Danio rerio: one gene and its partner. Each later gene encodes a partner of the first gene's protein in a complex. Links are inferred from orthologs where the notes say so. Each region holds a gene or a part of one and is shown in the gene's direction. Other genes may lie near its edges. The genes, in order: naa50 and hypk.

The links.
Region 2: naa50 (region 1) and hypk share a complex: the UniProt entries of both Homo sapiens proteins name them as parts of the N-terminal acetyltransferase E (NatE)/HYPK complex. The link is inferred for Danio rerio from reciprocal best matches to the Homo sapiens genes NAA50 and HYPK.

What each region holds. Positions count from the first base shown.
Region 1 is NC_133199.1:25,052,496-25,058,971, forward strand, and holds the start of naa50 (N-alpha-acetyltransferase 50), read left to right. Parts: upstream 1-2,720; 5' UTR 2,721-2,839; coding exon 2,840-2,847; intron 2,848-4,882; coding exon of another isoform or gene 4,883-4,885; coding exon 4,886-5,019; intron 5,020-6,476. UniProt on the Homo sapiens protein: N-alpha-acetyltransferase that acetylates the N-terminus of proteins that retain their initiating methionine. Has a broad substrate specificity: able to acetylate the initiator methionine of most peptides, except for those with a proline in second position.
Region 2 is NC_133182.1:52,247,956-52,254,271, reverse strand, and holds hypk (huntingtin-interacting protein K), read left to right. Parts: upstream 1-1,839; 5' UTR 1,840-1,844; coding exon 1,845-2,006; intron 2,007-2,663; coding exon 2,664-2,719; intron 2,720-4,182; coding exon 4,183-4,234; intron 4,235-4,307; coding exon 4,308-4,403; 3' UTR 4,404-4,520; downstream 4,521-6,316. UniProt on the Homo sapiens protein: Component of several N-terminal acetyltransferase complexes. Inhibits the N-terminal acetylation activity of the N-terminal acetyltransferase NAA10-NAA15 complex (also called the NatA complex).

The sequences.
Region 1 (6,476 bases):
AGTGCTGTGAAGGTGGTTCAGCATTTATGCATGCATTAATCCCTTCTTTATTAACCATTACTAGACTCAAATAATTAAAATTTTGTTTCAAATTGAGTTTTAAAAATACCTATTTAACAAGTCCTTGATTTTTTTTCTCATATTTACACATTTTGTAAATGCAAGTTTTAATATATATATTTAAAATAAAGTATAAAAAATGAAACAAAAAATTAAAGGATATTGTAAGCATATGTTAAATTAATTTAGTAAAGATACAGATCTTCTAAATAATGTTACCCATTTCAGTATTATCACTAGAGGAAAGAATAAGAAAACTTAAACAATAATCCAAGAAACTCAACAGGGACTGTGCTGTGGCTTTTATAAATAACAGAGACATGGACGATTACACAAATACACTTTTTTATGGAAAGGATGAAAAATTTAATAGGGTACAATATTTACTATTAGGGCGGCACTATGGCTCAATGGTTAGCACTGTCGCCTCACAGCAAAAAGGTCAGTGGTTTGAGTCCCAGCTGGGCCATTTGGCATTCTGTGTGGAGTTTGCATGTTCTCCCTGTGTTGGAGAGGGTTTCCTCTGGGTGCTCTGATTTCTCCCACAGTTCAAAGACATGCGCTATAGGTCAATAGGATGAACTAAATTGACCATAGTGGATGTGTGTGAATGGGTGTGTGTGGGTGTTTCCCAGTACTGAGTTGGAGTTGGAAGGAAATCCATTGTGTGAAACATATGCTGGGTAAGTTGTCAGTTCATTCCACTGTGGCAACCCCTGATGAGTAAAGGGACTAGCTGAAGGTAAATTAATGAATGAACTCACAAGTAACATGTTTGAGGTAACAGAAATGTCCATTTAAAAAAGTAGTGGAGATAATGCTTAACCAAAAAGAGAGAAATTGCTGCAAAATATAACATGAAAATGGAAACCAGAGAGCGTACGTTTGAATCTAGTGTAATTCACATACTTTGATCTTCTCATATGGACAGTACAAATACAGTGTATTTCACACCAACAAATCTTGTTTCCCTTCAATCTGTCATTTAAATTTGATTCTCCTTCCACACTTCCTTCCCATCGCTTGCTCTTCTCTCAACTCAGCTCACTTTGAAAGATCAAGTCAAAAGACAAATGTTCTCTGCCAATAAGTGATTTTAAGCATCATCTTTGGAGGCTTTTCTGTCTTGGTATTCAAGTGTCAAAAGGTTCAGCATGGTTCAGATCAGATCATCTTATATGCTAAACACTGCCTTCTAAAGTCATTTGTTTATTTTCCTTTGGCTCAGTCCCTTTTTATTAGGGGTCACCACAGTGGAATGAACAACCAATTAATCCAGCATATGTTTTACTCAGCGGATGCCCTTCCAGCCGCAACCCACTGTGAAAAACCTATAAACTCTTGACACACACTTACACACTACAGCCAATTTTGTTTTATCCAATTCACCTATATCGCATGTCTTTGGACTGTCAGAGGAAACCCAGGCGAACATGGAGAGGACATGTAAACCCCACACACAAATCCCAACTGGCTCAACTGGGACTCGAACCAAGAAGAAGCCACCCCTACCTTTAAACTGACTATTGTAATTGTATTGTAATTGACAAAACACATGTTTACCTGACAAGCAGTGATGGAAAGAGTACTGAACATCATACTCAAGCATAAGTACTGTTATTTGCCAAAATAATGCAGTGCAAGACACTTGTAAATGTATCTGTTTTCTAAATACCACTCGATGTGTGAGTAAAAGTAGCCTTTCTAAAAGTACTCAAGAAGAGTAGTGATTAGGCTATCGCATACTATGCTGTGATTAATAAATTATTTTACCTTACACCCTTCAAACTAAAAATGTAACTTTCGTTGGTGGCATTTTCTTTTAAGGGTGTTTCTACGTGTAAGTAGACAGTCATGGACTATACATTTAAAATGTCAGATTAATTTAATTTTAGAACACATTAAATGAATATATGCACCTATAATAAGTCAACAGATTGCAGCAAGTTGATGCATTTATATGTGGAGTGAAATCTGTGTAACCTAAGGGGCAAAATCTTGCTGTAATAAGCAAATAAAGGAATTTTTAACAGTGTAATTTTGAACACGGTATTGTGAGTTTAAATATAAGTTTGAAATACAAGCCAACACAAACTCAAAACAATAAAACCTGGTCTGGTTTCACAAACAGGGAGAAGATAAATGTTTTATTCCAAGGACAACACTTTTATTTATTTTACAAAATATTCTTGTATTAGATCACGTCCATGAAATATGTTTTTATTTTTTTTTAAATCCTTCTAAGTCTTTAGAGAAGGAGATTATACAACATTTTATTTGGATTAAAACAATAAGACTTGTATTATTAAGTCACAAAAACGCAATTTCCCGTTTTTTTTCTATTTCCTGTTGCTAGTTGTCAGTGGTGAAGGTTGACAGCAGCAGCCTCCCAGAATTCAAGGTTGCCAAATCAACCATCAGTAACCACCGACTAATTACTTATGTATAGTCGTAAATGCCTATTTCGGGGTTCAATCTCAACTCATATGACATAATTTATATCTATAAATGAACATTATCGATAAATCAACTATAAAAAACAACTAAAATATCGTTTTCCTAATTCACAATCTGATCTAAGTTATATGTGTTGGTTTAATAGGAAAGACTTGGCAACCTTCGGCCACAGCACAGAGGCAAATGCGGACTGCTTAGCTTGTGTGCTAGCAACATACATGTGGAGGGGATCACATCCCAAACTCTGCCCAAATTTCCCTTTAGACTGCCAAATACCGCCAACTGCCCCTGTATCCCTCACAACAAACGTGTTTTCTTCAACATGAAAGGGTGAGTAGACGACAGAGAAGGCTCTATTCCTCTCAAGTAAAGTTTTCCCCTCTCTATTCTCTTTTTTCCAGCAGGGGGGCAGTGGAGTTGCTCTAATGCTAGCTGTTAGCTCTCTGCGCGCTTAATGTGGAGAAGAGACATTTGCGCCGCGTTTTTACACCTAGTTTTACCTTAATCTTTTCCCAAAATCTCCAGAAAATAGCTTAAAAGTGCCTCATGTAATCTAGCACCAGATTAAATCTTATGCCAGTACAAACGGCACGAGTGAAGTCCGTGCCAAACTGGATCGTGTGTCGAATCTAAATCCGAAAATGTTGAGTCAGTCTTCAAGTTGCTATCTTGGTTAGCAAGCCAATCTGAAACCTCTCCCAAATGGGCGCCCAGATGGATCGTTACATTTAATAGCAGTGTATTAAAGCTTGTTGCTGTCATGTTGGGGTTAATGTGAGATTATTTTGATGTAAGAATTGAAATGTGACACACGTGATGGAGTGAGCTTAGCCGCATAGCATGTCCTCTTTGAAAATGACAGAACAAGTTCATACGGTCTTAAAACACTTTATGAAGGACGATTCTTTAACGTTTGATGGATGAAACGATGCATAAATATGTCTAATATGCTACGTTAAGCTCACTGTAGTGGTTTGCTGTGACCATGTGTGTAGAATAAAGAAAAGTCAGCGATATTTAAATTTTTATTCTAAATCCAATTCTGTTTTATATCATAAAATATTTCATATTTTAAAGTTTTGAATTCACATCTGTAAAAAAGTGGTACCCAGCCCTGTTCCTGGAAGGCCTCCAGCAGTACACATTTATCCGACACACCCATTAAGAGTCTCTGCTATGGAGCTGAAGGGAATCAGGTGTTTCACTAGAAAAAAACATACTAAATGTATTTTTAAGGGGCCCTTCATGAACAGAAGTGGTGCACCATTGCTTTAAAAGTCTGCAATATCATCTGAAACGTATTTACTCTCATCGCTTTACCAAGCATTGGTAAACTTTATTATCTAACTTGTTTTAATCAGTGGACTTTGATTTCAAGACCGTGTATAGTAGTATAGGCATTTGTTCTGTGATCATAAGTTCTGTAAACTCTATTTAGTGTGTATGTTTTTCTCCTGTCAACTCATGCTGGTTGTTCAGTGGCAGTGGTGAACATGTGACCAGCAGCTGTTGTTGGTGTTGGGCTTCAGTTTGCTGCCTCCCTATAAATACCTGCTTTTTGCACTGCTGGTTTACGGTGATCATAGTTATACAAGAAATGTGTAGTTTTGTGGGTGCACCTTTAGGGTATCTCTCTCTCACACACACCCACACACACGAAAGATAAATGAGGATGTGCTGATACTAAGTTATTATAGGGGTAGTTCACCCCCCCCACCCCCACCCCCCCCCCCACCCCCCCCCAAATACAATTTTCTCACCATTTATTCGATCTAAGGTGTTTCCAAACTTTTACAAATTTTTTTCTTCAGTTGAACACAAATGATGTCGGAAAAAAGAAACCAAATTTAAATTAATGGCTGTTTTTTTCCTATCATTTTTCAGTATATCTTCCTTTGTTCAACAGAAGAAACTCAAACAGGTTTGACATAAGTGGACTATGAGGAAACAATGACAAAGTTATAATTTTTAGGTGAACTATCGCTTAAATACAATACAAATTTTAATATAAAATAAATGAAATACTCTGTTGCATTCAACTATAGAAGTAATTTAAGTATTACACCATTAAATGTGATTAAATAGTGAAGATCATGTATACATTATTAATTTTACTGTTCCTGAAGTTCAATGAGCACAAATGACAATGATGTATAAATCTAATATTAGGTAAAAATGGATATCCATAGACGCTTTGTATGCAGCAGAATCAACTGATAACTGATATTGTACTAATATCTTGGGCTTTTCTAATAGTAAAGCTGTAATATTGTCATTTATGTGGACTGTTTGCTGACCTGACATGTAAAGAAAAGGACATTGTTTGTCAGTTCACAGCTAGTTGACCATTCTGCTTTTGTTCTAGTAGCCGGATCGAGTTGGGGGATGTTACACCCCACAACATTAAACAATTGAAGCGTCTGAATCAAGTGATCTTCCCTGTCAGCTACAACGACAAGTTCTACAAAGATGTTCTTGAAGTGGGAGAGCTTGCCAAGCTAGGTATGTAACAACGCTGATGCAAAACACTTACATTTGAATTCACTTCACTTCACAACAAAGCCGTAACTCAACTGTTCAGGACATAATAAGAACTGAAATATTTTGTGTAGTATTTTTTCGAATAAAAAAATTCTAAAGTCTATATATTGTCAAGACCAAATAAATTAAAATAAACTGAAGCTAGCAGTGAGTGTAAAAACAAAATACAAATATTTTATCCTTTACTGTCAAACAAAATGCGTGCAAGCTTTTCATTTTTTGATAGCTTTACATTAATGGCATTTTATAAGTCAGTTTGGAACATAAGTCACCGTAAATCTCAGATAATAATAAAAATATTGTAATTCTGTAAGTCTTTTTTTAGGGCCTTGTGATTAATCAAAATGAAATGGAGATTGCAATTCATCAAAGGCTGTGATTGTCATGCACATCCTGTCAGTGAAATTTGACTCTGTGATCACTAGTAATTCTCCTCAGAAGGCCAGAGGGTGCACATCTGCCGCAAAGAAATAAGGGAACTGTTTCATTGATTCAACGTGACTAATAAACTATACAACTTATTTCAAGCACTCCATGGAAGTTATGAGGTACGTTTGTAGTAAACCCATGTAATTAACCCTTTCACGTGTATGATCTCAGCCTTGGCTGGTCCTTGAAGCATACGATCACACCGGTTTGATTAGAAAATTCATAACTGAAGGCGCATGCTGAGGCACTGAATGTAGTGCTCAGCACTTGTCATAAATCACAGTTTATCCATGCTTCAAACAAATAACATTTATTTTAGATTTCAGACTTTCAAATACACAACTACAAGCAAAACATGCCATTTAAGGTTTGAAAAATATCTTTGGAGATGGCAATAATCATTATTTTTCAATATAACTGGAATATGTGCTTTGTTCACATAAGATACACAGTTTATGTTACTAGAATATTTTCTCTATTCCTCTCCCAGATAAATATTTGCTGCCCTTCATGTATTTCAGCAGAAATTTATGAATATACACAATAAATATAAGTTTGCAGTTAACGAGAAGTATTAATATTATTTATTAAATTTTGCATAAATTGTATTTTATTTGCATCTACCCCAATCCCAACCCTCACGGTAATGTAAAAATTTGTTCAGTGTCAAAAAATGATGCCATATTGGTGTGAATATCCTCAGCTCTATCCCCTCTAGACTTAATGGTATCTAGATCTAGACTGTGCTGAAGTCTTAATAGGATACAGCCAAGTAAACTTGCATCAATATAGCAATTAGATCATTAGGGCTGGTGGGTCACAATAAATGCATCGCCATGTGAACTTAAGAACTCAATGGATTCTAAGTAATGGTCACAAAAAAACTTATGCAGAAGGGTCAGCTGGAGTATTTAAAACTCACGCGTGAAAGGGTTAAATGTGGTATTTTCACATGCAACACAGAGCCTAAATTCACTAAGAAGGGATGC
Region 2 (6,316 bases), on another chromosome or scaffold:
TGTGCTGAATCTCTGTTGTTCAATTGTCATTTCCCTATTCTGTAAACAATATAACAGCCTTGAAGTGTCATTTATAAGATATTTAGTATGTTATAAATATTCCTCACTTAACAATGCATGAATAATCCTCACTCAAAACAATTGGAATAAAGCACACGCTGTAACTTTCCTCCTGAAAAATAAGATGTATTTGAATGGTTTATTAATCGTTTGTTTACACATTTGATGTAATTTCTACATCGTAGCTAATTTATTACGATGTACTTGTCAGAGGTGAGCTGTGTCTCCTTGTTTCTTCACATGCTCCATGCCTATCTGCCAAAGAGAAAGATATCAAGACTTTAATTAATCTCAATACATTTTTTTGGAAACTAACGCCATTGTGCAGTCTATTCCAGCACACAGAATAACGTCTTTATTCTGAGATGACCACTATTAATTAATACATATAAAGAAAAACTGTAACTAAACACATTCACTGGAGCTCTGGCCATTTGTACTGGGACACATGCCCCATTGGAGTCTATCGACACCCCTGCCTATAGTCTTCTCTCTTGCGTCAGATCAGGGTGTGCATTTACTACAGACATTATGAATTATTTACATTTAGTCATTTAGAAAAAGCTTTGGTCCAAAGCGATTTACAATAGAGAAGGCATACAGCGATTTAACAAGAAGAGGCAATACCTGCTAATTATACAAAGGAACTGTTTGTGCTCATATAAATGCTAGAGGGGAGGTGTGTTTTTCTTTTTTATATATATATGGAGTGATTGTAAGAATGTTTCTAATCCAAATGTGCAAAACTAGTGTTGCTTAAAGTGTCAGAAATTAAAAGATGTGTTTTCTACAGGTGGATTGTCAAGCCCCCTCACTTGTGCGAGGCACTCTCAGAGTTGATAATGTTTTGGGGTTGTCGTGTGATGAGGTGGGGGACGGAAGACAGATTTATAGTTTTGCACACAGGGGTTCAGGTCTTCTTAGGAGGCTTTTCTATGTGGAGTTTGCATGTTCTCCCCATGTCTGCATGGGTTTTCTCTGGGTGTTTCGGTTTGCACCACAGTCCAAAAACATGCGGTATAGGTGAATTGAATAAATTAAGTTTGTTGTAGTGCGTGGCATCCACCAGTAAATCAAATGGCAGAGTAATTGGCGATTCATTATGCTGTGGCGACCCCTGATAACCAGAGAATAAGCCAAAAAGTGAGTATTATAATAATTAGCAAACTGCAAAGAATTATAGTTTTATATAAACGGCTAATATTAATAATAATAATAAAAGGCGGCACAGTGGCTCAGTGGTTAGCACTGTCGCCTCACAGCAAGAATGTTGCTGGTTCGAGCCCCAGCTGGGTCAGTTGGCTTTTCTGTGTGGAGTTTGTATGCTCTCTCTGTGTTGGCATTGGTTTCCTTCTTGTGCTTAAGTTTCCCACATAGTCCAAACACATGCGCTATAGGTGAATTGAATAAGCCATAGTGTATGTGTGTGAAAGAGTGTGTATGGGTGTTTCCCAGTGTTGTGTTGCAGCTGAAAGGACATCTGCCGCGTAAAACATATGCTGGGTAACTTGGGGGTTCACTGCACAGTGGTGACCCCTGAGTAATAAAGGGACTAGGCCATCGTAAAATAAATTAATTAATTAATGAAAAAAAATTCATTAAATGAAAAAAAAAAGAAAGAAAATATTGATGTTATTAAAATTATTGTTATATATCAAACTGCAAAGCATTATCCTTTTATAATATTTTTACACACGTGACGTGACCTCATAGTGTGTTGCATGAATGTCAGTTCGGGTTTTTTTCATCACTGTTTTTCGTTCCGGCTGCGCGAGGAATCAAACATGGCGGCTGAAGGAGATGTGGATCTGGATCTGGAGGCTGAGGAGAACTGTACGGGAAAACCGACAGAAAAGCCGAGAAAGCATGACAGTGGAGCTGCTGATTTAGAAAAGGTTACCGACTATGCGGAGGAAAAAGAAATATCCAGCTCAAATTTGGAAACGGTGAGTTTTAAAAGCGAATGAAGCTAGTCAGGCTAGCAGTGAAGCCATGTGCACAGCAGGTTTCTGTATTAAAACTCAATGAACTACGATACATCTGATCGTGCAAAGTCTTAATTTTCAATGTCTTGATATTGTCAAGTTTATCGGCGGATTTTTCAACCTGTTGCTGATAGAGGTAAAGTTGGTTTTATATTCGCACATTCGTTCATTTAACTTGGAAGTATCTATATTTTTTACCATGTTACTTTAAATATTCGATCGGAATTAGCATGCCAGTGTGACTTAAAAACAACATTAACACTGTTTATTTGACTGTGAACAATGTTGTACTTTGATAGTCATTGGCTGCTAATATGATTTCACTGTTTAGTTGGCTAATAATACTTTTATGAAATTAAATTATTAAGGGGAAAGTTAGAATGTGCAAATATAAAACCAACTTTACCTCTATGTGTTGCTGAACTACCAAATTAGTAATTGAAACTCTCAATAAATAAGTTTGTGTAATAATTTGTGCTTTACTATGCCGAGATGTCAACGCCCTGAAAAAATGTAATTAGTGTAGGAAATTTAAAGAACAGTGTTGATCCTCTCAATAAAGTATATGGTTAATGTTTTGGGTTTTCAAAATTAATTTACGTAGTTGTTTTATTTAAGGCAATGTCCGTGATTGGAGACAGAAGATCCAGAGAACAGAAGGCAAAACAAGAAAGGTGAGCAATTCCCATCAATCCTTACCTTCATTTGAAGTATAATTCACTCAAAAATTTAAATTTGCTATTAATGTACTTTTTCTTGGGTCAGCCAAATTGCAACCTTTTTTTCTTAGTAGAATATAACGTTAAGCATTACATTATATCAAATGTTCTTGGTAGACAGAAGCTTTGAAAAATGACAATCTGCAAAAAGTTACTTACTTAATAGGTATAAAAACAAATAACGTTTTTGTTTTTTATTGTTGACATAAACGCTGAGTTTAAATAGGGATGCTCTGATCAAGATCATTACAGCCCATGTTGACTACTGACTCCGTGTCATGCAATTGGCTGATAAAGAGTACCGATTCTGATGCTTCAAGCTTTATATAATTGTGCCATTGCATAAAGCACATTTTTCCTCTAAGTATGATACTGAAGTGAAGCTTTCATCATACTGAGGAGAAAAAATAAAGCATGTATTCATGTAACCCTTTAAACATGTCTCTTATAACCATTTAGTGTGGACATGTCATGGTTAGGAGAGAACGTGTGTGTGTGTCTGTCAGTCAGCATGTCACCTTAAAGGGTTAAACGAATTACGCACAGCACTAAGTTTGCGCTGATATATTTCACTTGCATTTTAATACGTTTTGGTGCGATATATAACCCGCTATTAAAAAACAAACAAGCAACTAAATGTTTTGATTGAGAAGCTGTAATATAGCCATGGTGGGATGAATTTTGGTGTGGCCCCCTGCCATGGAAGAATAAATGTTGCTGAAACATTGGGTTAGATGTCTTGACTTCTTTTCTGTCCTTGGCCAATCACATACTCTTACTTTATTAGTTGGTGTAAGCCTTATCTTAACCAATTTTACATAGATGGAAATCTAAATTAAAACTAAGTGAATTGCTGAGTGTTTTCCAATATGCTATTATATATTTGAACATGCATTGTTTTTCTTTTACCAGGCATGTGTGGACTTTGCATGAAACATTAGGTCATGAAAATTTACTTAAGTCTTGGATTTTTAGTTGTAAAATGTGTATAACCCTGTCTCTTGTCCTGTTATCAGATCCCACCATGTCACAAATGATATAAGACTTGAAAAGGTACAAATGAATGTATATTATATAGTATACATTAAATATTTCATGATATTAGATTATGCAGTAGTGCATTTATGGTTTAAACTTTCAATTTAAAGTTTGCAACATGTTTAAAAAAGCAGTGTTTTCCCTGAGTTTGAGTTGCATTTGCATGATTTCGGCCAGCAGGTGTCCCTAGCATGTGCTGTTCCTCAAAAATATTCTTATTTTCAAAACTTGAAAAGCCTCACTATTGTATGTTCCGAGAGGGACTAAGAGTAAAATTAACAGCAAATTTTCATTTTTGGGTGAGCTATCGCTTTAACATTAAAACACACATTTTGCCAGAGAAAATACGTGGTTAATAAATGACAATGTCACTTCCACAGAGAAAAGGAGCTGGCCAAAGTAACAATAAAGAAAGAAGACGTGGAGCTCATAGTAAGTATAGAGCAGTGCATTCACTGATTTAGATGATTTGACGAGGATAAACATGTTAACGTGTTTCTCTCAGATGGGAGAGATGGAGATTTCCAGAGCCGTGGCGGAGCGCAGTCTGAGAGAACACATGGGGAATGTGGTGGAGGCTCTGATCGCACTCACCAACTGAGGAGATTGAAAGTTTTGAGCTGTATATGGACACATTGGACTGCCTTTTTTCCCGCTTGTGATGACCTTACCTTTTCCACACTGTACTTATTCTGTAATAAAGGAACCATTTTTAACAGCCCTCAATAGTTCAACTCACCCCTTTTCATGCTTTACATTCTCCAACCCCCCCTTTTTTTGGAAATGCATTCCAATGAGCTCAGTGTCACAGTAATTTATTACCATAAAACAACTAAAAGTACATTTTTTTTTTCTTTTAGAAAGTGAAACAAAAGCCTCAATTCTGTACACGCAATCAAACATTATCTAGATGTACTGGATTTCAACTGCAATAAACATCGAATGTCTTTGTTATGAGATTTCTCCTACTTCTGCACAAGACACTAGTAAACAGAGAGTGATGTAGAGGAGGGGAAAAGTAAAAAAAAAAGTGTCCTTGTTTGAGCTGAATTTGCTCTTTCTGGCGTGATGAACAGGATTATGTCTTCCTCTTCTGTACTGTTGGCCGGTCAAACACGTCTCTCACGCCCCCTGCCTTCTGTTTGAAGAACTTGCTATTCTGAGCACTTTCCTGAGCCCAGGCTGAGTCAAATGAAGTGGTGTCTTGATCCACCAAGTGTGTGTATTTGGTCCGTCCAGAACGTCCAAAGTTTTTGACCTACAAAGCACACAGATCATTAGTGAAATTGGCATTCACATAGATTCTAGACTATTAAAATGGAGAAGTCAGGACTATATTTAACTGCACTTTGCACAATCAACACAAAAAGAAAAGACTCTTTAAGGAACATTCCACTTTTTAAAAAAATAGGCTCATTTTAAGTTGCCTAGAGTTAGACCAATTTTCAATCCATTCAGCATATCTAATGGGAGAACTTTTAGCTTAGCTTAGACCACTGAATTGGATTAGACCATTTGGTTGTTTTTGCGTTATTTCGAGCAAATTCATTCTTCCGGTTTGAAAAAATTTTTGAAGCTGTGTCACGCCGATTAGATACTTGTGTGCATTCCAGCGTGTAAGCTGGCTGTCTGTACCTGGGAGGACTTCATGACGTTTCTAAATGTGCTGCATTAATTCATAAGAAAGGCTTGTTCAAACCAATCAGCATGCTCTATTGTGTATGCGGTGAAACTTCATTAATATGCATGATAGCTTCGAAGACTGTTTGCATCTGTACAGTATTCAGACGGCAGAGGGAGACACCACGTTGAGTTGCCAAAACAAGTTGGAGAAGAGTTGTTTGGAGATACGATTCGTCAGTGTTGCTTTTATAATTTGCTGCAAGGAAGGTTTTTGTTTTCATTTTCCCGTTATGAGAGCGCAACTGGACTCCTGTGTGGATAACAGTGCACGCGACACTCGGCAGAAATACGTGTCTAAGAAACATTGTTTACCCGAGAGATTTTCTCATCTGGAAATGGTGAAATGCGGAATTGCCGCTCGTCTCCTTTTAATAAAGACGCAGCTCCAGTTGAAGTTGATTGTCCTGTCTCTTACAGATTTGGTAAGTAAGCGATCAGTGGCCTTTGTTTATTCAGATGGCAAAGTTAGTTTGTATGGTCAGCAGTACTCTTTCAAGACTGACCTTAGTCAAATGACTTCTAAGTTACAAAAGTTTAAAGTATGTAAACATCACTACAGTAATATGGGCTGAAAGATCTGCTGTTAATGCTGCTCACTGTGTGTAAAAACATGTTAGTACCACAATCAAATTATTTCCGTCGTGGAGGATTTTCGGCTCATTTGTGACAGGAATAACACACACACGGCTTTCTGACGCTACCTACCGAGTGCATCCAAGTTACAAAGAAATACCGAGGGTTTTTTGCCATGCGGTTTCAAACATTACATTAAAAATACACGCTTCCAGCAATTCCTCTAATCAAATATCTCGTTTGTCACGAGGGGCATGA